Linked DNA regions of Drosophila melanogaster. The protein of the gene in region 1 interacts with the protein of each later gene in a pairwise test. Each region holds a gene or a part of one and is shown on either strand. Other genes may lie near its edges.

Region 1 (15,943 bases):
ATCTTCTGGCTAGAGCCACCGCCGGCAGACTGCGGTGGTCTGCCAGGCGTCTTCTTGGGTGCCAAGCTCATGCGCAGCGGCTTGTCATCGTTGATGATGTTCTCGTCATAAAAGAGACGATTTCTCTTTCGTATCCGAGCAGGCATTCCACGGGCATTTAGGGTCGGGATTGGGGCCTTCTGGACTTTGGGCTTGGGCGGCGGTGCGCTGCCCACGCGTTGGAGTCCCAGCGTCGCTAGGCTGAAGGCCGGCGGCTCTACTTGCTCCTCCGGTGCGCTGTTCTCGTTGCTATCCGGCTCCTCGTCATCGTCCTCTTCGTCGGCGTGCTCCTCCTCCTCCTCCTCCTCCATCTCATCGTCCTCGTCGAGGTTGAGATCTTCGCGATTGATTTCCTCGTCGTGCTCCATCGGCCGGACGTCAATGGCCCCACCCCCCTCGCTGAGGGCGGACTGTGTACGAATTGCGGAGTCGGATACGGAAGCTCCTGCCTTCTTACCCCAGCCTTTTTGGTTTACTGCAACGGACATTCTCACTGGACGGCCGGTAAGCTGAAATTCAAGGAGCACAGTTTATCAGGTGAGAATCTGGGCGACTATAACCGTGTTATCTAGGCTCGACAACAGGGCTTCCCCACAATGCCAGATGCGCTCCAACGGAAGCGTTGCCCCCACCAATCGAAAGCACAGGGAGGCAAAATTTGCAGATGTTTCTTGACTTTATTTGTTGTATACTCCGTACATAATTGTTATAGTTGCTTCGTTCCTTTTGTTTGTGTAATACTTTGATTGAAGGATCTCGTATATAAGTATGCTCGTGTCCCCATATATATATGAATATATATCATTTGCAATTGAAATTAAGCACAATTCAATTAACTCTCTCACCCGTGTGTTTGCTGTGTTGTATTGGATACGTAAACGAACACATATTGCAAATTCAGTTGGGTATATATGTATGCATTATTATATCTATAGTTAGGATAAGTAGTTCTCCCGTACAGCTGCAGGCACTTCTGTCGCCCGGTTACCAGTTGACCAGGACGCTGGCTGGCTGGCTGGCCGGCTTCCCAGGCTCCAAATACCGCCATCTGTTCGATGCACAATTAACATTAACGCCGCAAATGAACTGTGTGTGTGTGTTTTGTGGCATGCATTTTGTGAACAGGATGCCCAAACAACTTCACAGGACAATATGACTTTTTACACAGGCTTAAGCATAAATATAACATCGAAAGAATCAGATATATGGGAGTTACAATGGTTATAATGTAGTTAAAAAAAAAACCCCTTCGCTCACTAGTTGTTTAATCCTCGTTCGAGGAAACTCTGGTTGCTTGGCCTTCGCTTCATTACTTGCTCAATACATTTGTTTAGGTTTATTTTAGGTATATATATATAACAATACATTAGGCATAACAAATATCAATAATAATAATAATAATAATAGTAGCATACAATAGTAATAATAATAGTTGAGTAATAATAATAACAGCTTTTCATTCTTTGTTTTTTTTTTTCGTTTTTCATTTCCTTTGCTTTTCTCGTGTAGTTGTGTTTGCTTGCATATCTGGTTAATTGTTGTTTAATTTGTTAATATTTGGATTTGGATTTAGTTATTAGTTTTTCCGCATTGGAAATTAACGACAAACAGAAACAGAAACAGAAACAGAAATACGTGTTCTAAGAGTATGGGTAAAAGTTAGGCACTAAAAATTAAAAAGAACGCAGAGGGGCGAATAAGAGACATATTAAAATCGTGTAATACATTAAAATACATACAGATACGGATTAGATACAGATACAGATACAGATATATAGGGTAAGTATATAAATAAATAACAAAATGTGTTGTGAATTTTCGCTTGAACTAACTTCGCTTAGCTTCCCGTTTGCCCTAGCTATGCTTTCATTTTCGTTTTGTCTTAATTTTGCTAAGCTTTTTTTCGTTTCCATTACCTTAACTACTCACGAAACGCCATACATTACCGCACTTTTATTTTCGAATAATTATTGTTTTGTCGCTTCTGCTCCTCCAGCTCCCCGCAGCTCTTCCAGCTCCTCCTACTCCACCGCCGAGTCGTCCTCCTTGTTCTGCTCCTCCGAAGCGCTGCTCTGAAGTCCGCACTGATTGCCTAATAACATGCTATACATCCCGCAAGATTCACTAGTCCATTATCATTGCTCCTTCACCTTAGACATTGAATCGCGTCTCGGAGCCGTCGGCCAGCATGAGGGTCACCGTGCGATTGTTGATCCACACAAGCTTGGCCAGGCGCATCGGATTCAGGCGCGACACATCCGGAATGGGTGCCGTAGAGTAGCCCTTCGTACAGCGCGTCTGCGACTGGCCCAGTCCGAACATCCCCGTTGAGGTCTGCCAGAAGGAGAGGCGGTTCTCTGCGCAAGAGTACGAGACCAGGTACTTGCCATCCGGCGAGAAGGCCAGCGAGGTGATCGGATGCGTGTGGGCCGGGATCATCTGGCACTTGTTCTGGCGCAGCTCGTAAATGGCCAGGTTGCCACTGTTGGCGCCCACGGCGATGCGGCGTGTTTGGGCGCAGTGCGAGATCTGGTTAAACTTGCAGATGGCAGGACACAGCTCCGCCAGGCCGCGGTTCTTCAGCTCGTTGCCGTCCACGCAGTGCAGGGCAATGTCCATAACTTCCACCAGGAGGCCGGCGATCTCCGACTGCATTTTGTCGATTAGCATCTCAACGCACTGCAGAATCTCGCCCTTGGCCTTGTGCAGAACGGACTGGGTGAGCGGCGTGTTGATGGACTGCGCGTTCTGCTGCATCGTATTGTACCTGGCTACCTCGCGCGCCATCGTAGTGATGAACGCCGCCGGCCGAGCGGTGGCTATCAAGCGCAGAGCATGCCTGGCGGTTCGGCAGGCATCCGCTTGCGGGGTTAGTGGAAGTTTGTAGTTCAGATTTGGCACTGCTTTGCCCTCGCACGATATCTCCAGCAAACCAAGAAGCACCTTGGACACATCCAGGTACGGCTCCCAAACGGTGAATCCACGACCCAACAGATCGATGGCTGCCCGGCGCAGTGGCGTGTATTGCGGCAGCTTGGGAGATGGTGGCGCGTACAGCAAGTGAGCCAGGGCCATTGAAGTAAGACGGGCTAGATTGTTGGCTATGCCGAAGCCCTCCACGACACTAGATTTTCGACGTTCCCCGCCAGCAACTCCACTGGTTAGATTTGCTCCCGTGGCCATGCTAATACTTCCACGGTGATTCGGTGACTCCTGGGATATATCCTGGCCAAATTCTGCTCCTATTACACCCAGTAGGATAACTGCCGTAGTTTGTTTGCGCTTCAGCTCCGACAAGCTGGATGGTTTGCGTATAATCTCCTCCTCTTCCTCTTCGTAGTCTTCATCTTGGTGGGCATCTCCCCCAGGAACGCTGCCACCTGGCCCGCTACCACTACCAGCACCACCGCCTCCGGATACTCCGACGCCCACCCCTCCATTGCCGCCCGATCCCGAGCCAGCTCCTCCGCTTGCCGGCTGACTTATCAAGGCCAACTGCTGTTGGGCTCCCACTATGGGCTCGGTGTGCGTGTAGAGTGGCAGATATTGTGCCCAGCTCTCGACTAGCTGCTTGCGACCCTTCTTGCCCATCCGGGTAAGCTCGCCCAAAAGGATCTGCTGAGCCGCCTCCCTGATCTCTATGCAGTGATGCTGCCAGCGCTTGACCATCATTTCCACCTGCGGACGCTTGAATTTCTTCGGCTCCAGGGCCTCAATTTTGTCGGGCAACAGGAAGCAATGGTGGGTAGCAAGCAGGCTCCAGGCGTGCTTGATTTGAGAGATGTGGTGGGCCATCAGCTCCTCGCGCTCCTCCTCGTTGCTCAATGTGGAGTCCGTGCGCTGGGCCAAGCGCTGCAGCTTCTTGTGCTTCTCGCTGTCCGGCAGAAAGGAGGCCGCACTCATCGACAGCAGCGTATTGGACATGGCCACCAGCGCAAGAATATGGTTGGTGGTCAACGTAGTGCTGAGCTCCCAATGCAGACGGGATGTGAAAACAGCCGTGAGATGCTCCAAGCGCTGCAGCTCCTCTGGCAGCGGGCGCTTCTTGGAACTGGAGGGAAGCTGGATACCGGGTGGTATGGCATAGTTGTTCTGCCATGTGGGCAGCAGCAGCGACATATAGCCGGCCTTGGAAAGCACTCCGTATGAGATGGGCACAATGGGTCTAAGCAGGCCCAAGCGCGTCTCGCACATCTTGTCTAGATGTGGATCTAGGCCCCAAGAATGGAGCAGCGAAAGAAGTAGCTGGGCTACCTCCATAACATGCGTAACCTCCATCTTGGAAGCGATTTTGCTCTTCAGGTCCTGCTGCTCCTCGTGCGGCTCTACTGCCTTTTGCAGGCTCTCCACCTTGGCCTGTACTTTCTTCTCGACAATCTCAGTTTTCTCCTTGAACTTCTGCACCAGCCCGTGTTTGTCTTTGTCCTTCAGGATCTTCTCCACATCTACGGCCTTGTTCTTCACCTTGTTGAAGAAGTCACCGATCTTCTTGCTAGCATCCAAATGCATCGATTTGCCATCTTTGGGATTCTGCAGGTGGACACCAAGTGATTCCAAGGTAGCTGGTGTCATCTGTGCGTATTCCTCGCTATGCAATTCGAAGATCAGTCCCTCGATGTCAAAGAAAAGTATGTGGCTCTCCGCGTCCTTAGGATTAGTACGAAGACCCTGGATCACTAAAGGATTGCTGCGGTGTTTCATCAGAAAGTCGAAGTTTCCTTGGTTATGACCCTGAAGTTGCTGGAGTTGCGTAATCCCGCGCTGGGTAGCATGACGGATTGCATTCATGTTGCGCGACTTCAGGCCACGGAAGAAGTGCACTGCCGGATTGGCCATACCCATCTCGCTGGCAGATGCACCATTGGAACCACCGCCGCCGCCCGAGCCGCCATCCTCCGCCTGTTCATCGCAAGCGGAAAGGACTTCCTCTGCCAGCATCCCGTGAAGCACTCGATCGAGGTGACCCGTTTCCATTTGCCACACATACACGCTGCCATCGGAACAGCCTACGATTAGAAAGTCGTCCAGGGGACGCCATTTAATGGTAACCACAGGGAATAGATGTCTGCTTGCCAGGGTCACACACTTGCGCTCCTGAAGGGACACTAGCGTAACGGAATGGTCCGAGGCCACCGAACATATGCATTTCAGGATTCTTGGACTACAGCTCTCTGGCGGCACCAGCAGTTGTGTGATCTCACCCGCATGAACGCAAAACCTATGCAGTAAGCTTCCGCTGTACAGATCCCACAGACACACGGCGAAATCGATGCCGCCGGAAAGTAGATGCGACTTCTCATATCTCGAGTGAATCATCGAGGGGCAGAGCAGGCAATTGACCCTTCCACGATGACCGTAGAGGATCTGATGCGAGGGCCAATCGCTGAAGTTTTGCTTGATGCCCACCAGCAGCTGCATCATCACTGTCTGGGTGGCTGGCACTATGACTATGCTGCCATCCTCGCGTCCGATCACCAGGCGACTCTGCTGTGGCAGATAGATGCTCGAGGTGAGCTTCACCGGCGATTCTGTGATGCGGGAGAGCTGATCCAGGATGCCCACTGGTGGTGGATCCATTATGGACCACGCCTCGACCAACGAAGTGCACACGTGCGGCTTGAGGGGTCGCGGCGGCATCTGTTTGGCCTGCAGTATGCTAATATTGTCTAACGGCACCTCCGGCACATTCCAGACAGAGATGTATCCCTCGGAGTCTCCGCGCAGTAGATTGTGCTGGCCACCGGCGCCCTGAAGCAACTTCATGGCTGGGGGGCACGACAGCACCTTATCACCGGCGTGTTGCAACACGTAGTAGAGGTAAGGTGCATCCCTGACCACACTCTTCGAGTGGAACTCCTTGTTGTCGGGAATGCAGTTTGCGGGCAGCTTGTACAAGTAGCCCTTTCCCTCATCTGTCCATAGCATTACCCGGTCGGAGGTGATGAAGTCGCCGCCCTGCCAACGTTCCCTTGCGGGAGCAATTACGGAGCAGAGTACAGTGAAGTCGCCGGCATCGTAGATCTGCCAGTATTTGGTACAAACTAAGAGCACTGTGCGCTGGTTCTGGGCGCAGCAATTCATGGTGATGGCATTCAGGCAGCGGATCTCCTTGGATTCGTTCTCGTAAATGGGCTCCGCGTGTTTGTTCTCGTTACCCGTCAGAGTCCAGACCTTCACGGTTCCGGTGGTGGTGATGGCCAACACTACGTCATCCTTGCGACGCATGGGGCGCAGTACGTGAATAGCGGATATCCAATCCGGTTTGACCTTTGAGCTGAGCACGTAGATCACCTCTAGGCTGAACGGATCCATGACCATGATTTCAGCATAGTAGCCAATGCAAAAGAGGCGCACATCCTCGCTGTTGGCGGTGTGGTAGCTCTGAATTTGGGTGTGCACCTGTGGAAGCTTGACCGCCTCCATGCACTTGCCGTCCGTAAGATCCCAGGTGCACATCTCTCCGTTCTCAGACGAGCTGACCAGGAAGTTGTTCTCCGGCAGAAGCGAGGCACGCACTAAGCACAAAACGGGCGCCGAATGGCCCACCAAGAGGCACCGCGGCGACATCTTCAGGGTGGTGGGCTCCACTTGCCAAAGGCAGATCTGTCCATCGTAGCAGCCGGTGACCAGGGTAAACTGATCGTCCGAGAGGAACACGCTAGAGATGCAGTGCGTGGGCGCGGTGGGACCCCACAGCACCACGGGTACCACCAGATTGGTACTCACCATGGTGGTGCGCTTTACCCAATCTGTGCGGTGGCTCTCCTTCTTCTCCTCCTCCGCCGGCTTCCTTCTGCTCCCTGCTCGTGTCGCTGGTAATCGTTGCTTTGCTGCGACTGCGGGCTCTGCAAGAATAGTTATTGAGTAAACATTTGCTCACTTCCACCTAGTGGATGCGAATTATTTATGGTGGCCCCTGTGTGTGTATGAACTCCAGTTGTGGTCGGCTTTGAGTGCGTGGATGGTGCAGTGAAAGCTGCTAGTCAGTGACTCACCCAAGGTCCTTCGAATTCTGTGATTTCTCATCATCATTTTATTCAACCTGCTTTCCTAGCAGCTAATAGTGCTCTACAACCCACAGCTGTACGATGTAAATTGAAAACTGAATTTATATGGCGTTCTTAATGGAAAAGATGAATGGCAAAAGGGGTAATGTTGCCTAACGTTTTATAAACAAGCTCAGTTTCTCATTTCCTGTTGAATGTTTAAACAGACTTCGGGAATAAGCGAAATCGAACTAAGCAAAGTTTACATTTACAGCTTATGCAATTTGTAAACAATATAAGAACAATTAAAGGAACAAAGTGCAGCCACATTGTCGAGACTTTTCATATGCTTAACTGACGATTTTTGGGCCACTTACAGGAGAAGCATAACAAATTGGGTTGTAAATTCAAAAGTATTTATAGAGATCCATCTTAAATCTTTACCTAGAGTATGTGATAAGATAAGAACTTCCTATTTTTATGGATAGATTATTTGGTATAGCTACAGTCTTGGGTCTTGCGAGCTGGTTCTCTGGTCTGATAGTGATTTCTGTGTGTTATAGTTGTATCAATCAGGAATATGACTTTATCGTGTTAGAGAGTTCTTCACAGGGCTTTCCCCTCCTAGCTTGCAGGTGAATTTGTCAGTCGGAGTGACCTGCAAAGCTCTTCAGATAAGACCGCATTACAGGGGACACTCGTTCCAGCACACGCCACCTTATCGGCACATGTGTCCAACTTGGCCAGCCTCCACTGTACTCCACTCCACCTCGGATTGTCCAAAGATAAACAAGGGTTATACAATACATATGTGCGGCAAAAGCAGAGACTCAATCCGCGGATATATATCGGGTTTCGTGCGGAGCTGGGTATATGGGAGGGCGCCTGATGTCGCCAATTGAAAGATCAATTAATTGGCCGACTATTTGGCATCGCAATTTGAGCGGATTTTGCTTCTGCTATCGCACACAAACACACACACCCTCACACCTGGACACGCACACAGGGACAAGCCATAATAATTGTAGATAACTGGGCATTTATCTAACATTTTTCAGCAGTTTTCCGTATTGGGCTGGCTGCCGCGCGTGATTCCTCCGCTATGGATTCCGATTCCGATGCCAATTCCAATTCCAATTCCGAATCCGAGTTCGATTCCGAGTCAGCCTGCTCTCGATATGGAGAACTTAATGATGGTCCGCTACTGGTGGTGACGCTGCTTATTGATCCTGGTCGACGGACATCGCGGTGGCGGAGCAGCGGACTTCAATGTCGATTTCGATTCGATTTGATTCTAATTTATGGACACGGGACGGGCGAAACGCACACCACCCCCCGAGCACACCAACACACCAACACCTTTCCGCTGTACAGATTGCTTACAACACACACACGTTGCGTTGCTGTTGCTACTTTGTTATTGCTTTTGCTCGCCACTTTTGCGAACTGCTCATATTTGTTGCACACACTTTCCGCTGGAACATGCACTCCACGGGATCAAAACACTGCACTGTACTTTCGATTTACTTAGCTATTTCCTTTTTTTTTACACGAGTGTGAAAAAAAAGCAACGAAAATCGACCGTGGAGTAAAATTTTTCGATAGATTTGCGTGAGCGGATAGGGTTGCAACCGCAGCTCCGGACGCTCTTCTATCGATGCCATGCGAGGGGCGACAGCCCTGACCAAAAAATTTAATATTTTTCTTTAATTGTTTATAAATATGCAAACAACTGGGTGGAAACACGATTTCCAGATCCCAAATGGCACACGCTTATATCTACGGTCAACGGGATGGTTTCAATGTGGTTTCTGGTCAGCCAGAGGCAATCCCGCATGTATAGACCCACAATGTTGTTACTTTTCGCCCAACGGACAATTAAGCATACGCGATTGCATTTAAACGATCGCCTTACGCGGAGTACAAAAGGCACACGGGCCGTGATGCAGTTACTCCGCGAGGTTATAGTCGACCCTCTTTCTGAGTTTTTTTTACGCGGAGAATGATTCAAAACCGAAACACATCGCTGCCCATCGCCAGAACTGCAATTCGCAGTCGGAAGCGTAACAAAGGCTGCGGATTTCTTGGTCAGCTCATCCGGAGGATGTCCGGGTGTGAAACGGGTGCAGAGGGCAGTTACTTACCATAGGGTACAGTTGCTTCTATTGGAGGCGGTCGTTTCGCTGAATATTTTGAATTTAAATCACTTTTTACCCGTACGAACACACACTTTTGAATGGCCACAAAAAAAACTGGTATGTGCTGCCAACTCGACGCGAATAAAAGTATAAAGGAACGTGTGCCGCGCAAAGCAGTGACAAACAATCGGTATATTTGTCATCACAAACTTTTTGAATTCTTAAAGAAATTGCCATTTAATTTTTCCAACCCGACTTTAATATTGCCGCGCTGATTTTACGGCTATTCTGAGCTGTTGTATTCCTTTAACAAGCAATGACCACCATGCAAATTCGATCTGACCACCCTTTCGATAGTTATTCGATCAGCAACAGCTGATTGCACCCTACGGAATGACATATCCTATTGCTAGGGATTTTGTTGGGTAAAATTAACGTACTTCAGAATTGGCGGAGAATACAGTGTTTGCTAGCCTATAGTGTTTGGTTGTTACCTTAAAAAAGCTCTTTGGCTTGTGTTCTTTCCCCCGTTTGCTACTCTAAGCGCTCTATAAAAAAACACTCACCGAACGGAATTAGTAGGGCATTCGGCGGTCGATGCCACCGCCGAATCAGCCCTTGTTGTGATTTTGCGTCAACGTAGCCGCATTTGACTTCCACACATCCCACATCCACGCTGGCTATGGAACACTGACCATGCCCATAATTGAATTAGCGGCCCTGATTGATTGACTGTCCCACGATGCAGCAAAAACCCCGAAACAACGGCTATCCGGGCACCCTCATCTGCGCGGTCCTCCTCGTCCTGCTGTCCACCGGTGTCAGCGGCCAGAAGCAGTATTCCAAGGCAAGAAAGTTGGAACTGAGGTGGGTCATTGCTAGGGCTAAACTCGGACATACTAATCCTAACCGGCAATGAATCTGCAGGGAGGATGTGCGGCGCATGTTCCAGCACGCCTACGATGGTTACCTGCGCCACGCCTCCAACTACGATGAACTGCGTCCGCTGACCTGCGATGGCCACGACACCTGGGGCAGCTACTCCTTGACACTGATCGACGCTCTGGACACGCTGGCCACCATGGGCAACTTCACGGAATTCCGCCGCGCGGCAAGACTGCTCGAGGAGAAGATGGATTTTGACAGGGACATCAACGTGTCCGTGTTCGAGACAAACATCCGCATCGTGGGCGGGCTGCTGTCCGCGCATCTGCTCTCCAAGCGTGCTGGCGTAGAGCTAGAGCCAGGATGGCCCTGCAAGGGACCTCTGCTGCGACTGGCGGAGGATGTGGCCCGACGATTATTGCCAGCCTTCGTCACGAACACGGGTATGCCTTATGGCACGGTGAACCTGCGCTATGGCGTGCCCAAGGGCGAGACCTCTATAACCTGTACGGCGGGCGTGGGGACATTCCTCATCGAATTTGGTACCCTTAGCCGGTTGACCGGGAAAACCATCTACGAGGATGTTGCTATGAAGGCGGTACATGCTCTATGGGCATATCGCTCGCCCATTGGACTTTTTGGCAATCACATCGACGTGCAGAGCGGTCGTTGGACCGCCCTCGACTCTGGTATCGGAGCAGGAGTGGATTCCCTTTTTGAATACCTAGTTAAGGCATCTGTCCTGCTCAATCGCCCAGAACTCTTGGAGTTATTCCATGAGGCTCGCGCGGCCATTGATAAGTACATGCGGAAGGAGGACTGGTACGTGTGGGTAGGCATGAACAAAGGCCGCGTCACCCTTCCCGTCTTTCAGTCCCTGGAGGCGTTTTGGCCCGGCATCCTGAGCATTATTGGCGACACGGAGCCGGCCTTGCGCACCATATCACGGTACATTGGGGTCTGGAAGAAGTACGGCTTTCTGCCAGAGTTTTATAACATTGCTGCTGGAGAGGCATCGCCGAATCGGGAGGTGTACCCCCTGCGACCGGAGCTAATCGAGTCAGCTATGTATCTCTATCGAGCCACAGGAAACGAGTATCTTCTGGAGTTTGGTGAGCACATGCTGGAGACCTTGGAGTTCAGTGCCAAAACCAAATGCGGATATGCAACGGTGAGAAGTTCTGTGAACAAGCTTTTTAAGAACTTAAAATTAATTAATATATACTTGCATTATTTTCCAGATTCGCAATGTTGTCACCCACGAAAAGGAGAATCGCATGGAGTCATTCTTCCTGGCGGAAACAAGCAAGTACCTTTATCTGCTGTTTGACGAGGAAAACTTCCTGCACAACGATGGGTCCGGAGGCGAGCTGCTGTCAACCGAGGATGATGTATGCGTGGTACAGGCCGGTGCGTACATCTTCAACACAGAGGCTCATCCCATGGACATGTCAGCCCTCCACTGTTGCCACGCCCACAACGAGGACATCTACACCTCTCTGGATCTACAGCGGTTTAGTCCACGGGCGATATTAGAGAGGAGCAAAAAGCGGCAGGTAGCTGTTCAGGAACAGTGGGTGCCGCAGTGTCACCCAGAGAACAACGAGTTCTTTAATAAAGAGGATGAGAGTGTGCAGGCGCAGGACTCTGAAAAAGAGCAGGAACGCGAGCAATCCGGCACAAGCACTACCATGGCCGTAGATATTGAGGTGTTCGACGAATTTCAACAGCCCGCCGGCGATCTGTTAGTAAGCAACTTCGAGCAGATACGCGAGGAGCGGGAGCTAAACGAGAGCCTGCACAGAAACGTGGTGGCACGAAACCAGTTGACAGTCAGCGATTTGGATGAATTCTTTGCTCAGCGACGGGAGAGTTTCGCAAGCGCCTCCGAGGCTCTTAACTATGTAAAGACCTTCATGGGCAACTATACCATGGATGTAGCCTTTATACGGGGCTTGCAACTGTACGATACTAATATGAGTAGTGTATTGGGCACAGGCGCCCAGAAAGAGTATGAGTCTCGAATGAGGACCCTTTGGCAGCTGTACGAACTGCAGCAGCAATATGTGGCCAACATCCGAGTGATTCAAGGATTAGGTTTGCTAACCTTTCCGGCGGACGGTGACCGGATACCTAGCCATTTGACAGAGGTGTTGGACAGCCTGGATAAGTCGGCTCACTTGGAGCATATGGATCTACAAGATCTCGAAACAAGAGTGTCCAATACCTCCTCGCCCCAGTTGGCTCATATAAGAGAAGTTATTCTAAAAGCACGTAATGCCTATGCCATAGCCATGGTCAATACTTCGGCCATGCAGGAATTTGCTATCCGAATCTACCTCAGTGGCACTTCGGAGGCCGGTGTTCGCATTCACCCACTTTTGGAAGACGGAGAACTAAGTGAGGAAGCACGTAAAAGGCCATTAAAGTTGGCGGAGGAGCGAGCCCTCTTCAGCTACGCCCGTCGAATAGTGGACTTTCGGAAACGAATGGCGGAGACAGTTGATCGATTGCAGACGCTCATGCAGGACATTCCGCCACCCAAAAGGAAAGAGGCCACTACCGACTCTCAGGCCGCAGATGCGTCCACAGTCTACACTCAAACCAAAGCCCAGATGGCGGCGCCTGCACAGCAGCCGGAGCCGAGCCAGGAAGAGAAGCAGTCGACACAAATTCAAAAAGGAAAGCTTGCCGAAAACGGCTCCGGATTGGGTGAAGAGGAGTCCGGCTGCGTGTGGTCGCAGTTGGTGCAGACCATCCTTCGGAAGACCACGGTGCAGCGGGTCAAATTTGACGAGGCCGTGCTCCAGGAAAATACGCGCAAGGCACTGGAGAAGTACGCCCGCAAGGAGTTACCCCACCATCTGTTCGCCTGCCACCGGCCGGAGTACATTGAGGGATTCGCCTATCGGGACTTTTATCCGGAAGCGCTGTAAGCTCGCAATCACCTCACCGACCAACACGACTGATCTGTAGATAGATATGTATGTATTTAGTTACTTAGGGGTATTCGCTCTGGTGACTGGGCAACCACATAGATAAGTCTCACGCAGATTTTATTCCCAACTGCTCTATTTCCGATGGCGATTGAAAAGTGGGCTGTTGGGCCCTTTTATTAACTTATTTTTGCAAAATTAAAAGACGTTTTTTCTGGTAACGATTTCGAACGATCATGGTATATTTTTTTTTTTTTAGCAAAGTTCGGCGTCGATGCGCGCATGACAATGAGCGACTCAATTGCAGAGCGAAAAGGACAGAGCGCTAAGCCAAAGCGGCAAGCGCGAAAGTACAAGATGAAGACAGCGCGAGAGGAGGGGAACTTAGATAACGAAAGAGAACCATCACCTCTAACGGTTTTCTGATATGTTGCCGATCATGATATTTGCAGTGCTGTACTTTGTACTTTTCTATCGTTTAAATTGTAAGCTATGTACATATATGTACGTACATATGTATGCAATTACCAAACCATTTCCAGGAATTTCAACTTCTTGTACAATCATGTTTACCAGCGATTTTTTAAAGCTCAGTTAAGATATGATAATAGAACTTCCAAAAATATGTATAGCTAAAGAACCTTAAGTGGTCCTACTTGTGCCGACAATTAATTTAATTAGCATATGAACCCGCAACTCTTGAGGTTTTCTCAATACCTTACCAAGGCTTAAACAAATTTATATCTGTAATAATAATGGTTCGAGTGCTTGTGTGCGTGTAAACTATTTGCGATGACTGTTGTTGGCTGTATTGTAATTAAATTGATTTATTTCCGTATTTATGTATTCAATTAGATTCGATTAGGCTAAAATTTACGACGAATCGAGAGAGTTGCACAACCCGAAGCAAATGTTGAGAATCGCGGCGGCCAAGTGCCGGATGTGGTGGCCACCTGCTCCTCTGCCTCTAGATAATTTTGTGGCTGCGATTGTTTGGACACGCAAAGGCAATCGCTCGAATGGGTTTATTTTCGGATATTGCTGTTTACTTCAGGGATTTGGGTTTTGGGCTTGTACTAAATTACGCCAACGACATGAATGGAGCCAGCCCTTGGGTGCTGGAAGCAGTGATGCGAAGGTATAGTAAGCTCCTATTGTTTACAATGTAGTAGTTAGCCTTAAAATAGGCGAGATAAGTTCCAGTTCCAACCAATCGATGACTTTCGCCTTCGGTACACTTGGTTATACTTCAACCAATTCCAATCTTGAATATAACCAGTGATCCGTCTCATCACTGGCTGACGTCCTTTTACTTTCTCTTGAGCCAATCGCATACATCGCGGACAGCCCACAGCACCTGCTGGGGAAATTCGCCCGACAGGCGCCTCTGACGTTGGTGAAACTGTGATTGTGGGTCACACCACTGCCATCGACACCCCCGGGAGTTGGGAGCAGCAACTCCTTGGGCCCCGTGGGCTGCGTCGTGGGGATGCGTGTACAGTATTGGTAACGTTGCCTGCCATGCAGCAACAATAGGAAAACTTTAATGAGTACAAGTTGCTGCCAAAACGAAAAGACAGCCAGGCAGGCAGTGAGCGGCAGGCAAGGGGATTGTGGGGGGTAGGTGTCCTTGATGCAGCGCAGTCCGCAGCCAGTCAAACGAACCGAGCACGCCACGCGTTGCGGACGGATTGCCTGGATTTCCGTAAACAGAGCTCTCCTTCGGGGCTCAAAATAGTAGACGTGCAGGAGCATGAAACCGGGACTCGAAACCACCGACGAGGTCGAGGAGAATGGCGACGCACTGGATCATCGCGAGGGGGATCCCCGACCGCTGCCCTACGACTTCGAAAAGGAGCTGATCCATAGATCTAACCGGCACATCCGACTTTACGAAACCTTTGTTCCAGTGAGCCAAGGTATGCTAGAGATTTCTGGTTAGCTCGGTATATCATGTTTGAGGACAAGCTTGTTGCATCGTAGCGCTCCTGTAAAAATAAAACTTTAATCATTGAAAGTTTTACAATAGTTTACAAAATTGTTCACTACTGCTAATAATATCTTCTCCTGCCTTCCAGTTCATCCGCTAACACGGAAGTTCTACGCCCAGTATGAGCAACGCCAGCCGACGGATACCTTGAGGTACCTACGGCACACTTGGCCTGAGAAGCATGTGGAGCGTCAGAGGCAGCTCGGAAAAGCTGTTCCGCTCCTGGAGTCGCAGGTGTACGGCTGGTTGCCGCTCAAAAGTGGAGAGCGAGCCGCCGATCTGAACTTTCTGCATGCCAAGAAGGTGCGCTGCGGCATGACTGTTCACGGGGAGCGCTTGGTGGCGGAGAGGATTACGGCGCGTCCTCCGTTTAACGGACTCAGATTCCTGCTTCACTAATCCTACGGCGAAGAAATGTCGCACGCTGACCGCCATTATAAATTTATAATTTTTTTTTTAACATAGTGTTAATTTTTTTTTTGTAAACAAATTAATTATGATTAAAAAGCAAAACTAAGCCACGCTAGATCATTATTAAGAAACGCATCTTGTCTAATTCAAATTTAGTAAAAAAAAAGGTGGCAGCTCTCCCTCGATGATTTAGTTTCAGGGCTACGACGTCGATTATTTTTTGTTTATTTATATTGTTTTCATTTACTGTTGCTTCAAGCAGGCGAATGAACCTGGAACAGACTCCTCCTGTAATGCGCACAGCAACCGCCTGAGATTCTCGCAGTAGCCACGCAACATGGTGGGTACGGGTGTGAGTGAAGTGGGTGTTCCGGCATCTTCGGAAGAATCCGTAGATTTCGGCTGGAATCGGCATCGCAAGTCAAAGGTCGCGTTTCACGGACTCAGTGGCAGCCGGCATCTAATCACTTGGGTTCTTTGACTCACATAATATTCATAACTGATTTGATTTGATCGACTCTGCAGGCTCACTCGAACAAGGCTCGCAAAGCAGCCAAA
Region 2 (16,907 bases), on another chromosome or scaffold:
CGATTTGCAGGTGGAGAGGGCGCGGAAACCGATAGGTGGATGCCATTGTCTTCTCGGGGGGCAGATAGCGTCGGCTGCACTTACAGCAATTTGTCACGATTTGTTTATTTTTAGCGGTGTTATGATACGGGAACGGGAGCTATGGGATAGGGCGATGAATGCCACCACCAGTTTGTTTGCGCACAAGGGGTAATGCTGTAGTAAGCAAAACTTACATCATAAGCGGGAACTTTGTTTATTTTTTACGCTCAACGCTGGATTACTTCACTCAAAGAATCTTTGTTTTGTCCGTTAGCGGGGAAAAACTCCGCAAAGGCAGTGTGATTATAAATTATTTAAAAAAAAAATACATTTTTATATCATCGAAACTTGCCAATTGACAGTCTTGCTATATGCTTTTGTGATTAAAGTAGGAAATACATTGTTTGTTTTTTGTTGTTGTTATTGATAAGGCCCTTTCTCTTTCACTCTTGATGAAAGTATTTTACGAAGCTCAATTGCGTTTCTTATCAGCCTTTGTAGAGCAGGAGAATTGCATGATCTAGTCACCGCAGTCAGTGGCCCCAATGCAGCGGCGCATGTGTGTTCTGTATCCCGAATGAGACCTATTGTCGGAAGTGGGTGAACTCAAAACAAAGTCCGTGATGAGAGCGGTAACAGCTGGCTGGGCTGCGGTAGAGGTCGATCTATTTTTAAATGAGCCGCAAAACTTTCCTCTACAGGCATCTTCCATGAGTCATTCGGAAAACTATTTTGAGATAAGATACTTTGGCGCTTGAACTTTGCTCCTTTCAAAATGTGACGATGTCCGTGACATTGGTTCTTATCTGACATGGGCTAATCGGTGTTTTGCTTTATTCTCGCAGGCGGCAATCCGTCTGGAGGAACCAGCGGCCAAGGTTAACCACATCAAGAGCCAGCAGGAGGAGTGCGAGCTGAAGCTGGAAAAGGAGCGGGATGCCTGGGCGGCCCAGATGCTGGAGCTGATTGCCAAAGAGGACGAGATCGTTAGCTGCATCCGCGACTATGTACTCAACCAAAGAAACTATCACGAGCGCGCCCTGCAGCACGTAAACGCCTCGCTGGCCCGCATCCAGGACACTATCCAGGGCACAGAGAAGTCCCGCTTTGGCACCTCGCTCAAGGAGCATCTGACATCCACAAACCGCGAGATCTCCTACATAGTGGAGCTGTGCTGCTGCTGTCTGTTAGAGCACGGCCTGGAGGAAGAGGGTCTGCTGCGAGTGGGCTGCGCGAGCACGAAACTGCGGCGTATGAAGCACGCCCTGGAGGCGCAGCATGTAAAGACACCGCTTCCGCTGGACTACCAGGATCCACATGTCATTGGTTCCATACTCAAGCTGTACTTGCGTGAGCTGCCCGAGCCGCTGCTCACTTACAACCTGTACAAGGACTTCATCCGGATCGCTGAGAGGCACAGCGAGGCCGAGCGCAAGACAGAGATTAAGGCCATTCTGACCAAGCTGCCAAAGGAGAACTACGCGAACCTGCGCTACCTCACCCGCTTCCTGTCCATCGTGCAGCAGCGCTCGGCGCTCAACAAGATGAGCTCGCAGAACCTGGCCATCGTGATGTCACCGAACATGCTGTGGCCACGCATCGACAAGAGCAGCAACGCTCCGGCCGACTACATTGGTCAGGTGAACAGCTCCTCGGCAGCCAACATCATTGTTGAGCTGCTAATCAGCCAGTGGGACTACTTTTTCATCGGCGAAGTCGAGTTCTACTTGACCCTGCAGAAGCAAAAGCTCTTCGTCGAGGGCAAGAGCAAATCTAACTCCTCGAACGAAAACCTGGATAGAAACGACAGTGGTAAGCATACTACACAGTCGGGCATCTATGAAACGGGCCACTATACAGTATTCGACCTATGACGACTTTTTCCTCTTATATTTTTAACAATTCCACGCTTAGTATTTTCCTGTGCCTTATATTTTTTATATTTTTCTAAATGTTTCTTTACGTACCTAGAAGCTGTTAAAGTGCAATATTAGTGGCAATATTTTGTTTAATAAAATGGATTGGAACCAAATTTAGTATTGTACTTTTGGAAGTTCATGGTGTCATTGGAATAACTATTTTACATTTTATTTAACTTATACCAAATCTTTTGACTCGTTTGAAATTTTAAAGTTCTTGTACATTGGCTTATTCGATTTTAAATTAAATGCTTTTAAAAAAAAAGTCTAATAAAAGATATATCGTTTTATAACGTATTAATAATAAAGCTCATATCATATTTAACGATCCATTTCCATTTATAGAAGTCATGGAGAGTCCACGCTATGGTACATTGCGCAGACAAAAAGCTAATGCACCTTCGCCTCCTACCACCAATGGAAATGGGATAATTATGACCACATCACAGACTTCGCACCGACCACATGCAAAGGAGCTGTTCCCGCAGCAGACGCCGGAAAAGCAGGAAAAGCCCGCCAAGCCGCCGCTGCCGAATTTGCCGCAGTTTCAGTCGCCAGCTGCTAGTCAGCCGACGCAGACGCAGCTGGAACCACTGCCTCCGCCGCCTGTAACGCCAGCCAAGCCTGTTCCGATGACGCGGACACAGTTCTTCGGGCTGGACAACCTGCCCTCTCCAACGGCCGATCGCAAGAGCACCGACAGCATTGGCAGCTTCAAGCTGAAGCCAGATGTGCCGCAGAAGCCTCTGCTGCCCAAGCGACCCACCGTGCTGGGCGTGGGAGTGCCTAAGGCAGATGGAAAGAGCGATGATGAGGGCGGTACCACGCCCACTCAGGCAACAATTGATAATGGCAATGGCAGTGTGCGATTTAAAACGGAGCATTTTCTGGACAAGCTGCGTCAGGAGAACGGCGAGACAAACGGAACGCGAGAGGTGTCGTCGACGACAAAGGAAAACAATCACAACCATGATCCGCCTGCTACGGCTGCAGATCAAAATCAGCAGCAAGCTCAGCCCCAAGTCACGACACCCATCTCTCCGAACTCATTTCAAACGCCCAAGAGGCCAACGGTGCCAGCGCCGCCACCGCCCACAAATTGGAAGTCCTCGGACTAGAGGGGAATGAGTAGAGAGGACGCGCAATGGAAACGTGGTCAGAGTCATTAGGTGTTACTGTTTACTCGTTAAGACTTGAACGCACAGTAATATATATATATATTTCGAAATGATCCTTGCGGTAAGGAGACTTTGTGCATTATAGAGAGAAAAGCCTCTGCGTATTATGCATTTGTATTTTTGCCTTGTTCATAAGCAATCTAATTTGTACGTGTTTAGCCATATATAACAATATCACGCGATATCCATAACGTATATGTATGCATATATAGTCTTTAGTAGGCCACCATAAATCAATTGTCGAAATTCGATTTGTTAGCCCAAGCCAGCTCTCAATTGTTAATCCTTGTTTGAAAGGTTGTGATACTTCAGAAAGGTTTTGTGTTTCCTTAATTTTTTGCATTGCTCTTGAGTACGTTTTGTTAACTTCTCCAACGAAAGACATTGTGATTTCCTTTTATTAAAAGTTATGATTTCGATTAAATTACAGAAATTACAGAAAATTCCAATGTATTATTCAACTCACGAAGTACATTTTCATTGAATTATCATTTCGCTGCGCGATGTACTTTACTTTGTATCTTTGCTTTATTAATTTGTAATGCAATTATTATTATTTTTATTTTATAATAAAATTATGTATGATAAACTGTTGTGTATATAAAATATACATAAAAAGATAAATATGATTTTGCCCGAGAGGCATTTGTCTTTGTATTTTATTGTTTGTGAAGTTAATTTTACGAAATTGGCTAAAGAGTGGGTGCGCGTAGTGTATGTTAGAATGTGGATCTCTTATGAAATTGGTAATACCTAGCTCTTAATCACATACTGACCTCCTTAAATCAAATGATACTTAAGATATCTTCAGCTTTGTGGTATCTTCAAAACTCTACACTTTGTGCCACAAAACGAATACCTGAACACAAGCGATTTGTAGACAGCACTTATTATAAACCAAATGGCATAACTTCCAAGTCAAATACCTAACTACTTTATATCTCCATATAACTATTTTTCACGAGATGCTTCAGATGCAAACTAGCAATGACCAGATCTGGATTGAATAGAGCTTACTTACAGACCAAATCGATATATATTCCATGATATTTATAGAGATTAGTATGTTTATAAAGTTTTGTGAATAGGTTAGTAAGTGAGCTAATGCTGGAGACACACGAATATATTCTGCAAACATTTAAATAAAAAAGCTGAAAACCACAAGTTGGATAAATATTTCTATTGTTGTTCATAATGGTGGGATACAATGTAGAATTCGAATGTAGAGAGCAAGACAATTAAGTATGCAATACGGTTAGTAAGATATTTTATTCTACGAAACTCATATAAAACACACTAAGTATAATTGATACCATATATAATTAATTATAGGATGGGCTATCTTATGTTGCTCGTAACTAGGCAAACATCGAATGGTGGTAGAGTGCCGGTAATCTCCAAGAATCGTCGAAGGATGTGGCAATAGGTGTTTCCCATGGGCGGAGATTCAGTTCCTTCCGCCGGAATTCTAGCCACCTCGTCCGGAGTGTCCAGCTCCCTAACATAATCCATAAAGTTGTCCACATTGATGGGTGTCTCTGCCCTCGTCTTTGCTGGTTCCGTCTGCAACTTTCGCTGGAACTCACTTCTGTAGTAGTCGTTGATCATGGACATCATCCCCTTGGAATACCAGTAGATGATGCCAATCAAGAATAGGCCCTGCATGAATGGACCGACCATATTGTATGCTTCCACTTGATTTACTTATTTGTTCGATAGATCCTTTGGTTTCTACTGCTGATGCTCCTCGCGGAAGCTTTCAAGCCATTGATTAACCATGTAGAATTGCTCCTTGATGTGCGGCCAGGCCATGGTGACAATTAGCATTATGGTATTGGCGAAGACAAAGAGTTTCATCATTTCAAATGCTATTGGAAAGGGGTAATATTTATTAGTTAAATGAACTATATATTTTTAAGGAGCGAAAATTACAGACCCTCCGGAGTGCGAAGATAGTCGCCGAAGCCGGAATTTAGATCCTTGTCATCCTTCTCGTCCACCTTCTGCTCATGCTTATGCTTATCCTTCTCGTCTCGGCTCTTGCCCTTACCACCACCCTCGACTTTATCCTTGCCAGAGTGTCCTTTACCGTGCTTGTTCCTGCCGTATCCCGTGGATGAATTGGCAAAGGCCGATTTCTTCGGCTTCATTGCATCCAGATAGCAGCAGTTGGTCGGTCAGCCTGCACAGCACTGCATTTGATTGGAGTTGGTCCTGGAAGTGCTCTCCGCCTGGTGCTTCCTCGCCAACTGCTGCTCCGCAAATGACACAAACTTTGTGGTGCCAATTGGCGTGGCGCCGCTTCTGGCAATTTTATGGTTTCCATTTTATTGATTTGCGATTTCTGCTTGTCGCTCTGGCTGGGTGGGAATGGTGGGACAGGTGACCAAATAGAAATATGTTGTTAGTGGAGCAATGCGCTTGGATATTTAGCCGGGCATGTGTACTTATTATACCAGTCACACGAAATGTGTGTCAACTTGGTGGATGAAGGTGGTCGCCGGTAGGGTTGGTGTTTGTGGGTTTACATTGGTCCCAAATGGCTCTGGTTCCTGAAAGCTTATTTAAATATCATGCAAACCAGTTTTAATTTATTTAATGCCTTATTCTGCCAAATAGTTTATAATAGTTTTGCATTGATCTAATGTAAGCTTTACATTTTAAACAAACTACGTGTAGATGCCGAACTTTTGATTTATTCCCAAAAGTATGCAACCCAATATACATATTCGATTCGCGATAAGCGAATGTTTAATGAGCTAAATTCGAATACTGTTCGCGAATACTTGACACACACTACAACTAACTTATCAAATACGCCCAGACATATATTAAGTATACGTTATTACGTGAACGCAATAAGTTGCTGTCCCTTGTTTACCACAGCTCCGACCGGTGGCTGCTCCTTGTCCCGCGTGACCAGGCAACATGTGCCAAGGCCGCCCAGGATGACCAGCAGACAGAAGGCGGACAGGGAGAGGGCGGGGCTCACCTGCCTGAGCAGCGTGAGAAAAGAGGCGGAGAGCTGCCACACCCGCGCCCACGTGACGGCGGAGAAGGAGAGGCAACTACGCTGCTCCATTGGCACCAGTTCGCCCAGGCAGGCCAAAATCATGGACTGGGCGCAGGCTACGGCCGCCTGGGGAAGTGATGCCATTAGCAAGCCCAGCGTCAGTCCATACACCTCGGGCATATCCTCCTCGGCCAGGAACCAACAGATGCTACCGATGCAACCGACCACGATGGCAAATCCCCCCGCCCACTGCCACTTGCGTTCACTCAGGTTGAAGGTCAGGTGTAGGGCCAGGAAGCAGCCAAGCATCTCGGCCAGGCCCATGGCCAGTGTGTTGGACACCAGGTGCTCCCTGCCAAAGGACCGCACATGGAGCAGCAGCCCAGTGTTGACCACCATGAAGGTGGCAAGTGCCATGTGCACGGCCACCAAGTGGAAAGTACTCCTACGCTGGCCCATCCACAAGTGCATCCAATGCACGGCGGGCATTGGCTCCAGCATCCTTTCTCTCAGCTCCTCCAACTGCTGGGGTAACTCCTTGGACACTTTGTGCATTCTACCATTGGTACGGGCTGCTTCCAGCAGGATACCCACCGTTCGCTCGATGGCCAGTTGAGCTTCCTTGGTGTGTTGCAGCTGCCAGCGCGGTGAGTCCGGAGTCCAGGGTAGCAGAAAGACAATCACCAGCAAGGAAAGAGTTACGCCCAAGTATATGTGCTGCCAGCTGGGAGCATTGGAGGCCAAGCCAGGGAGCAGAATCAAGCCCAGAGCCCAGAAGCAGTCGTAAAGTATGAGGGTTCCTACGCGATATTTTCCCGCTGTTATGTCACCAACTGAAAAGTAGGTTATTTAATATTAAAGTATTCTTAAATATTCAATTTTACTTACATATATACTGCCCCGAGGTGATCATAAAACAGCACGAAACAGCAGCCAGGCATCGGAGTCCACAGTGCAGACTGAAGTCTTTGACAAGACCCATCAGTAGGCTGCACATGAGCAGGCACCAGATGCCAGTTCTATAAATCTGTCGGGGACTCAGGACCCGCATCAACTTGGTGGCCGCCACGCCACCGATTAGGAGGCCAAAGAGGTGCCAGTACTGAGACCAGGCCACAAAGAAGTCGCACAGACACACCAAATCGAACTCCATGGTCAGGGAGTGGAAACCCGTGGTGTAGAGGAACTTTCGACACTGGCGCATGGCGTAGGCGGACTCTCCGTAGTTAACCATCACATAGCAGTGGTCCAGCGAGACGGTGGAGTTGACATCCGGCCCGAAAGCCGTCGTATCACACTTGTACTCCTCCTCGGGGTACAGATCCGGCGCTGTGAACAGGATGCAGGCCATGAACCAGGCGGCTGGAATCTTGCAGAGAAATAGGATGAGCAGGGAGCGCAGTTGCCAGGGCCCAAAGTTCCCCATGATGTGTGTGATGACATCGTCATCGTTGTCATCTGCTAGATTATTTGCTTTCGGGTGTGGAGTTTGAGGAGATACCTCGTTGGCCTTCGGATCGGTGCAGGTGAAGCTATGCGCCATGTGGCCCAAGTCCAAAGGAGCAGGTGAGTTTCGGCGTATATTGGGCATCCAGCCTCGATAAAGATTATCCTTCTTCATTCTTAGTTAGCTGCCAAATTTAGTTACCACGTCTTGGGAGTGCCGACCCTCCAGCATGACTGCGACTTCGCTTAGCACCTCACCTGGGCAGGTAAACTCGAGGGCTCCGGTTTGCGGTGCCTGCCTACGACGTCGTCGCTAATCAAATCATTCCAAATAAGCGGAGCAACGTTCCTAACCGATTGTGCAAACATTTTGGCCGACAAGTTGCGATCTATTTTCGCGGCGATCTTACGGATTTATGGGAGGATCTAGCCGGGGAATCCGATCGCGGTGGCGGGCAATTGACATGATTGAAGCTAATGAATTGGACAGGTAAACAACATCGGAATTCGAACTGATTGGAAAGCTTCGCAGCTGTGGATACATTTAATTTAATGGTATCGCCATATTTTATATAATAGATATAATACTTATCTACTCCGGAGTTTTCAAGTTCATGGCTTTTGAATTATTGAAAATGGCCTAGAACTCTTAGCCAATGGTATGGACTCCCACTTCATGACTTCTTCAATGATCATTAACGAAGGTCTAGTGTTGTCCACATCCCCATCGAAATATGATGTAATATGTTTGTGCTCAAATGTTACGTCTGAGTTGCTATTTTCGTTGGCCAATTGCATGTTCCACTTGCATTTTCACGAAAAACTTGTTTCGGGAGGACCAAGGCATTTCTTTTGCCAAGCCAGTTAGGCGTTGAAAGTGAGTAGCTCACCGGATCAGTAGCTATCGTGGCTTCAAAGTGGCCACACCATGGACAACGCCGAAGTGAGTACTGTGGAGCACCAGACGGATATTTACCAAGATGCTGTGGTCTTCATAACGGGTAATACAGACGCGATCTCCAAAAGAGACTGTTCAAAGATGGTTAACTTTAATAGGAGCAACTGGCTTTGTGGGCAAGTCGCTGCTGGAGAAGCTGCTCTGGAGTTTTCCGCAGATCAAGCGGATCTACATGCTCATCCGACCTAAGGGCGGAGTCACAGTAGAGGAACGATTTCGCGGATTCCTTCAGAATCCCATTTTCGAACGCATAAAATCGGAGCATCCAACGCAGCTGAAGAAAATCTTTCACTTCTCTGGCAACATTGAGGACGACAACTTAGGTATGGCTTTTCAGAGAAACTTTAAATGAAAACTCATGACTTCACCAGACTTTTCCACCAACAGGTTTAAATGAGTCCGACAGATCGGTGTTGTGTGCCGAGGTCAACATTATTTTCCACAGTGCAGCAACAGTGAGTCCGAGGGGGATTCCCCAAGATTTTTCACACTGATTGTTTGATTCATCAAATTCCAGGTACGATTCAATGAGTGTCTAAAAGTGTCGGCTCGCGTAAATTCACAGGCCACCTACAATCTTCTAGAGCTCTGCAGGCAGATGCCTTATCTAAGGGTAAGGAGCTCCAGTCCGTAGAGTTTATCTTTACTGCTAAGTAATGGGTAAAATCTCTAGAGTTTTCTGTACGTCTCGACGGCCTACTGCAATCCGGGTCGCAAGTATGTTGATGAGCAAGTGTACCCCACCATGCCGCCGGTAGATTGGCGACAGTTTCTTTCTGCCACCCAGAAAATACCCGACGACTATCTGAATCGCCTGGCCGATTATATAAAGGGTCCGCATGTCAACACCTACACCTTCACCAAATCCATTGCCGAGCAGATTGTTAATGCATACAAGGATGTGATTCCCATAGTGATAGTGAGGCCTTCGATAGTCACTGCTGCGTACAGGGAGCCCTATCCCGGATGGATTGACAATATCCAGGCCATCAGCGGTATTATGATGGAAATTGGCAAGGGCGGCATCAGCAGCATCCTAGGGAACAAGGATCTTATATGTGACATCATCCCAGTGGACTTTGTGGTCAATGCCATGATCATGATGGTCGGCAAGGCGAAATTGGGAAGGTAAGTGGATAATAAATACTCCTTATACTTATCATGTTAGTTCTCATGCTGATATTCCAAAGCTTGAGCATCTGTAACGCCACTTCCGGAGTGACCAATCCCATCACCTGGCAGCATCTTGGCGAGCTAACAATGAAGTGGTCTCGTATCTATCCCACCCGGCGGATGATTATGTTTCCCAACTTCAAGTATAGGTGCAGTGCTTTTAACCACGAGTTGGCTGTATGGGTTCTTCACTTTGTGCCCGCCTTGCTAATGGATCTGCAAACCCTGCTGTTGGCCCAAAAGAAGCGACTGGTGACACCAATTGCCAAGAAATTCCGACAGGCTTGCCTAGCAGGTATCTTTATGAAACATCTTTAGCAAATGCAATCGTTCATTGAACTGCCCACAGGTAGCTTTTTTTCGCTGAACGAGTGGATCTTCAAGAACAAGAGCCGTTTCTATTTCAAGGAAATGATTGAGAATGGTACATATCCCACTCTCTACTGGAATCTGGAGGAGATGGACTATGACGAGTATGTGCGGCGTCACATGATTGGGATCAACAAGTACCTGCACCGCGAGAAGTTCACCGTTGACTCAAACAAGTTTATGGTGACCAGGTGAGTCGTTCGTTTATTATTTCCGTCTTAGTATCCAGCTCAGAATAGGATTGTTGTTCAAATTTTCCTTTTATGGGGATAAGGAGAGTCCCGTTCCATATTGTAAAGCATCTTTGGACTCAAAAAAATTACATTAAAGTATTTAATTTCTTACAGGATTTATTGGTTCTGGATATTTCTGCATTTGATGTTCTACATGATGCTTGTCTATATTTCATTTTAGTCAAGTAGATTTTGAGTGTTTAGCGATAAGCAGGTAAATTAATAATGAGTGTAAAAGGAGTTGTTTTAAATATTTATTTATAATATAAGTTCCAGTCTCACTAGTTCTCTTTTATGCGCTTAGATTTTGAGTATAACTTTCTTTTTAATGGTCAAATGCCATCCATAAGAGCGGAATCACTATTTAAGATCTTGCCCATCTCATTGTATAAATCGTTCCCTGACTGGTGGCTTCTCCGACACCCGCTAACACAAAGTATACACCATAGGCAGTGTATAATCTGTTCTAGCGGGAGTCGGTGAAGGCACCTGTCAGGGAAACGATTTATACAATGAGGTGATCAAGGATTGTGTTCTCGTAATGGGGTCAAAGTTTCTCGCCATTGGTTAGCAATGAACTTCTTTGGTCACTCAGCAGCATACCGCCACCTTAAGGGAATCCATTTCATCATATGTTCCGTGATGATTCGAATTATGTATATTCTTGCTCATTGGGATGCTGCAGGATGCCGTCCATTCGCCTGGGGTTGTCGATGTCTTCCCATAGTTCTCATTGGTTCCAATATTCCTAAACTAAAATTTTTATAAGCTCGGGATCAAAATCATCAAGGAATTCTTACAAACTTGAATTACTACGTCTTGGAAAGGACCTCATTAATTCGAAGCTTACTCTTGTAATCTCGTAGTCCAGAAGATAGCCATCAAGGAATTCTTACAAATGTTGATCCACCAAATCGAAAAGGCAAAATAAAATTTCATCCACGTTTTAGCATTGTCACTGTCAATTTAGAGATGCATTGCCTTAAATGTCACTTGCCACCTATCGTATAGTACTATTTGTTAGTTAGTATTCCGGAAAAGCAAAACACGGCTATGGAACAGCCGAAGGATCTTGACAACGAAAAGAAGGAAAAGGAGAGCCTAGATTGGAGGGATACAATGAGTCAGATGGAAATAATGCGTCTCCTTAGTCTGCAATCGAATTCTGAGAAAACCGCGAGCCGGAAGAGATCTTTTAGTTTAGATCCAGAGAAGCGTGAAATTGACGGAATTTGAAAAATACAACATTAACAAAATTCTGAGCGATAAAAAATACTGAAAAACGTGTTGTTTCATATCATTGTTATCGGCTATTAAATAAAATAAAAGCAGAATATTTTCAGCGCTTTTTTGATTGTTACCAAGTGCTAGGACATTAGTTTAAGTGGGATAAGTTACAAGATATATATCATAAGTAAAATTTATTCAGTGGTTTCACCCACTAAACTCCACAAATATTCTTTAGTAAAACTGCAAGCATTTAAAATAACAATTCACTTATCCTAATCACAGAAGAATGTTTTTTCATTAGCTGACTAATACAAAGACTATTAATTGGCAAAAATAGGCTGTCGTCTTGGGCTACAATCGAGTATTGTTCACATCGGATTCGACGGTCCAAACTGGGGCGTTCAATGGAGACTGCTCCTTCGTGTTTCTCTGCTCCAAGTGTGGCACTACCGGGGACACACTTAATCTGGGCGTGAGGAGCAGGCTGGTGCAGATTCCGCCAAGAATACTAAATACACAATACGAAGTCAGCGACATGGCAGTGTCGATCTTCCGTAGGACATTGAAGAACGGCGCTGAGAGGAGCCACACTCGGGCCCAGGTGACCACGGAGAAGACGAAAAGCTGCTTCTTGTTCGCCGGCATCAGTTCGTTCATGCAGGCCAGGATCATCGATTGGGCACACGAAACAGCCGCCTTGGGAATGGTGGCGATGATCATCCAGAGGCTCACTTTTAGATCAGCATCCACTAAAGAATAACCATAGTCCATATATTGCATTCACGAAGTTATTAAAATTAACTTACTTGAGTCCGCATTGGTGAAGATCCAGCCCATGCATCCGAGGATTCCAGCTAATATATTAAAGACCCCAGCACATTGCCACTTCCACTTGTTGTGCTTGAGTGTAAAGTGCAGCGCCAGGAAGCAGCCAATGATTTCCGAAAATCCTGCAGGGAATAGAATGGTTTTTACATTATGAATAAAGAGTTTTTTGGATTTAAGTATTGATATATTGTACAACAAAGAGTTTGAAGGCCATTTTGTTTAGATCGATATTAGATCGATAGCAAGTTGCTAAAGTTCTCTTGATTTATGAAGATACCAAGAACGCCCAACTCACCCATGGCAATAGTGTTCGGTACCAGATAGTCCCTTCCAAATGATCTTATGTTGAGCAGCATCCCCATAAAGTTGATGACGAAAAAGGCCAATGCCAAGTGGGCAGCTACCATGTGGGTCTTGGCCCGCTTTCCCTTCCACAACTCCGTCCAAGGAGCTGGTGGGGGTTGGGCCTTCAAGCGCTCACTTAGTTGCTCCAGCTGCTGTCGGAAATCCGGAGGGATCTTGAACGAGCGATCATTGATCGCCGCTCCCTCACGCAAGATCTGTTCCACATTGTCAATGGAAAACCGATCCGCAGCGTGCCGGAGCAGCCAGCGAGGTGAATCCGGAGTCCAGTAGAGCAGCAAGATCAGCATGATAGTGGGGAATGTGATGCCCACATATATCAGGGACCAGCTGTTGAAGAACGAGGAGAGTCCTGGCAACAGAATCACACCAATGGACCAGAAAGTGTCGTATAGGATAATGGCACCAATGCGATGCATTCCCGCCGTGATATCGGCAACTGGCAGATTGGATTTCATTATAAATATTTATACTGAATAGGTATAAGTGTACTACCAAATCCACTTACATATGGCTTGACCAGCTGTGAACATGATCGCACAACAGACAGCGGAGAGACAACGGAAGGCGCAGTGCAGACTAAAATCCCTAGCATATCCAGTGACTACTCCACACAAAATCTGGGCTACAGCACCGACACAATAGGTGCTCCTCGGGCTGATGCCCAGCATCATCTTGGTGCCCATAACGCCGCCTACAAGAACTCCGAACAAATGCCAGTACTGAGTCCAGGCCACGAAGATGTCCCTCAAGCAGACCAGATTGAACTGCATGATCAGGGAGTCGAAACTGGATACGTAGTTGAACTGCTCGCACTCGGAGCTGGTGCCAGTGGACTCGTCCAGGACATAGCACTGGTTATCCGAAATACTAAAACTGGAGTTGCTGCTGCTAGTCAAATAACTGGTGTCGCAGGTGAACTCCGAGCCGGGATAAAGTTCCGGTCCGGTGAAGATGATGCAGGCCATGAACCAGGCGGCAGGGATTTTGCACAGGAAGATGATGAGAATGGTTCTCAGCTGCCAGATGCCAAAGTCGCCCACAACATCGGCGATGACATCGCTACCGGCTGGTGCTGGAGGTGGCGTCGCTATTCTCTTGTCCACGTCATTCTCCATCTCATTGGGGAGGATGTGGGGGGCAGTGGATTCTCCACCTCGGGCGGGCGATGGATTGACCATGGCTTCTATTTAGTGAAACATTCTGCAAACGAACATCCCATTTATTTATTTGCTTTATTTCTTTCATGCCAATACCCTTCCATCCCAATTGAAGTAAATTGAAAGCGGTTTACTGATGAAATCAGTCAAACAAGGCATTGAATATCACGAGAGATTGTTGAAATATCTGCGGTTACTTTTCACTTGACTGACTTTCATTATTGCATTGACAAGTAAATGTCATAAATAAACACCTGGGCGAAATTCATAAATTAAATATAATTTTAAACTTTCCTAAAACCCTATACTTGTTACACCATTGTGTCTACTAATAAGATCATTTTTCATTTCCAATAAATCTGTAATCTCGTTTAATTGTTCTCATTAATAAATTAGCTAAGCTCTTGATTAACTTCAACCAGTTCGAGGTTCTGGCTTGCTTTATTCTGTCACTGATATCATATCTCGAATCACGACTGACCGTAGTTTGGTCGATAAGGCAGAAGCAACAGATAATGATCATTTCATTCCGCGACTTTATCTGTTTGCTAGCCCTTATTTGTCGAGGGCAAATATGGCGAAAGATTTAGTTGTTAATTCGCGACAGATTCGCTTTGTTGGATCATCTGTATTGACAGACTCTTTATGCTTCAGTTTCACAGGTGCTAATTGGCGATTGTCTGGCTCACAATTGGTCCCACCTCCAGTCTGTCCACCTATTGGTAGTGCAAATATTTTAATTTCTAATATTCCAGGCAGTGCTAATTGCTGAAAACTGGTCGTGCCGGTGCTAGATATTCGAATTTCCTATTCTACAATACATTTGATATACAGCTGAGCATGTGGACAGTGGAGGTAGGTCTTTCTATCAGATCGACTTGTTTCGATTCGAGCCCAAATGCAAATTAATAATTGCTTATGGGGCAGGAAAACTGAGCCACTGGAGAGGCGTTACTCGTTTCAAATTAATGGAATGCTCGACTTTTGACAAGATTATGATTAAGTGCACTGTGCATTTGTTAGATTACGTGCACGGCGTATTTAATATTTAATGCAAAAAACTGCAACACGATAATGCACTCTTACGAGGTAATCAATAAATGCTAGTTATAAAATCAATATAGTAATATAGCATAGTAATGTTGGTTTAAGAGCTTTAAACCGATCTATAAACCGACCTTTATAAAGCACAATATCACTTTTTGGTTTATCAAGGGTTCGATCACGATGTTGAGTCCTCAAACAGCCAAATATTTCGGAATTCAATTTATTTCTCACAATGTCTCTTTGCTTTTTGTTCGTTTGATTTCATACAAATTAATTTAAATTAATTAAACGACAATAAAAAACTATACACGCCGCGTATCCCCGTACGTAAAAGGCAGCTTTCCGATTTGCACGTCTCAGCTCGATTTTTCTTATTGGATTCTTGGAGCACACGCGTCCCAATCGGCCGAGAATCAAATGGCAACTGACGCCAATGTCGCACTGGGCGCTATAGACAGGGAGTGAGCCGACTGGCTGTCCACTCGGAAACTCGAGGCGTTAATTTACTTAATGAATTTGCTCAAATAATAAAAAGTTATTGAACGGGTTCGTTTTTCGAGCATTTCTCTTTAGTTTCAATTGTTTTTTTTAGAGTTCATAAAGTATTTGACGCAGCCGGGATTTTAGTTAGCTTATTGAGACATTTTTTCCTTGTTTGCCTATTAAATATTTAATTTTATTGAATAGCTGACGACAGATCGATAGGGTGTCTTTCAATGCTCTTTATGTTATTAGTTTGAGCTTACCCCTATCGAGTGTGCATTATCTCAGGTGAGGAGGGTTTATGGCTTGGGAGCCATAACATTATTACTTTACGTTATCGCCGTTTGCCATTCGGGCTTGTACAAATTCTTCAACGGATTTCTATTTTAATCTTTATTGTCTGGGTCGCTTTTTTTAGCGCTCCTAGTGACACATCGATTGTGGTGCTCTTCATTAACCTACATTAATATCGAGCTATAGATTAATACTATACTCTTAATGTTATCTGTATTTCAACATAAAATCTTCCTTCCAGGATCTACATCACAATTTTATTATCATAAGTAAGTAAATCAGTTTCATTTGGACTAATTTGTTGCTCACCGCTTGCTAATTAAGACCTTTCTGCCGACTCTAAACTGGAAATAAAATAAACAATTAAATTAGCAATATATGACGTGAAATGATCAACTTTGCGTTTAACTTTAATTTTGTGGCGAAATTTGTTAAACATCTGGTCTTTGGATCATCTCGTATAATATGCTTAAAAGGGGGTGTGTTTACTATTACGAAAATTCTCTACACCGCTCACTCGCAATAATATTTTTAAAAGATATATAAAGCGGAAAAATAATACATAAATCAGAAGTATAATAGATAATATAACATTTATTTTAATAATCACCAAATAATTGAGTGTACACTTTATACAAATGACTTAATATCTTAAGATCGATCAAAGCCTACTTTCGGGCTACGCGAAAGCTGTTCAAATGGTTTCCGAGCTGTGTGCTCTGTGAGCTTCCGGACCACTCTGTTCCACTTCCATCTCGATCTCGCTGGAGGGATGGAAATTGATGTGCCATATATCGGCTATGCTAACTGCCATGTTTCGCTCAAAGTTGCTGAGAAGCTCATTGCTGTAGGCACTGCAATCGGAACTCACAGTGCTGCATCGGCGCAGGATGATGGCCGACTGGCGACGATAGGTGTTGGGCGTGGGCACCTGACTGATTTGGGGCTGCTCCGTGTTCCAGTAGTAGCGGTTCAGGCGGCGCAGGGCCAAGCCGTAAATCCAGCCCATGGTGGCCAGGATGGTGATGGGGACCAGGTGGTGGATGACAGTGAGACAGCTTAGAAAAGGGCAGAAAAGCAGGCACACGCGGCTAAATGAGATCACGGAAAGCATAAGGACCACCCGCTTCTCCTTGGACACAATCTCACTGGTACAGGTGGTTAGCACTGCAATCGAGGCGGAGTTGGCTAT

Evidence for each region.
Region 2: the proteins of CG32801 (region 1) and CG4770 interact in a two-hybrid assay, tested with the Drosophila melanogaster proteins (one large-scale study listed by BioGRID).

Annotation. Positions count from the first base shown.
Region 1 is NC_004354.4:1,901,582-1,917,524, reverse strand, and holds CG32801 (uncharacterized protein), read left to right. Parts: upstream 1-14,347; 5' UTR 14,348-14,737; coding exon 14,738-14,903; exon of another isoform or gene 14,904-14,986; intron 14,987-15,033; exon of another isoform or gene 15,034-15,062; coding exon 15,063-15,373; 3' UTR 15,374-15,443; downstream 15,444-15,943. Other genes in the region: Rbcn-3B (Rabconnectin-3B), read right to left, coding at 2,191-6,768; mip130 (Myb-interacting protein 130), read right to left, coding at 1-548, 9,170-9,172; Edem1 (ER degradation enhancer, mannosidase alpha-like 1), read left to right, coding at 9,906-10,030, 10,091-11,219, 11,290-12,980, 13,244-13,313; Ldaf1 (lipid droplet assembly factor 1), read left to right, coding at 15,723-15,812, 15,911-15,943.
Region 2 is NT_033777.3:19,910,027-19,926,933, forward strand, and holds CG4770 (uncharacterized protein), read left to right. Parts: upstream 1-8,480; 5' UTR 8,481-8,505; coding exon 8,506-8,578; intron 8,579-8,633; coding exon 8,634-8,858; intron 8,859-8,922; coding exon 8,923-8,990; intron 8,991-9,052; coding exon 9,053-9,148; intron 9,149-9,208; coding exon 9,209-9,663; intron 9,664-9,725; coding exon 9,726-10,003; intron 10,004-10,057; coding exon 10,058-10,268; intron 10,269-10,424; coding exon 10,425-10,491; 3' UTR 10,492-10,558; downstream 10,559-16,907. Other genes in the region: RhoGAP92B (Rho GTPase activating protein at 92B), read left to right, coding at 867-1,833, 2,286-3,058; Xport-B (exit protein of rhodopsin and TRP B), read right to left, coding at 4,457-4,798; Xport-A (exit protein of rhodopsin and TRP A), read right to left, coding at 4,850-4,986, 5,055-5,268; CG4465 (uncharacterized protein), read right to left, coding at 5,964-6,964, 7,020-7,752; CG4462 (uncharacterized protein), read right to left, coding at 11,892-12,289, 12,347-12,490, 12,664-13,170, 13,240-13,912; CG4459 (uncharacterized protein), read right to left, coding at 16,410-16,907.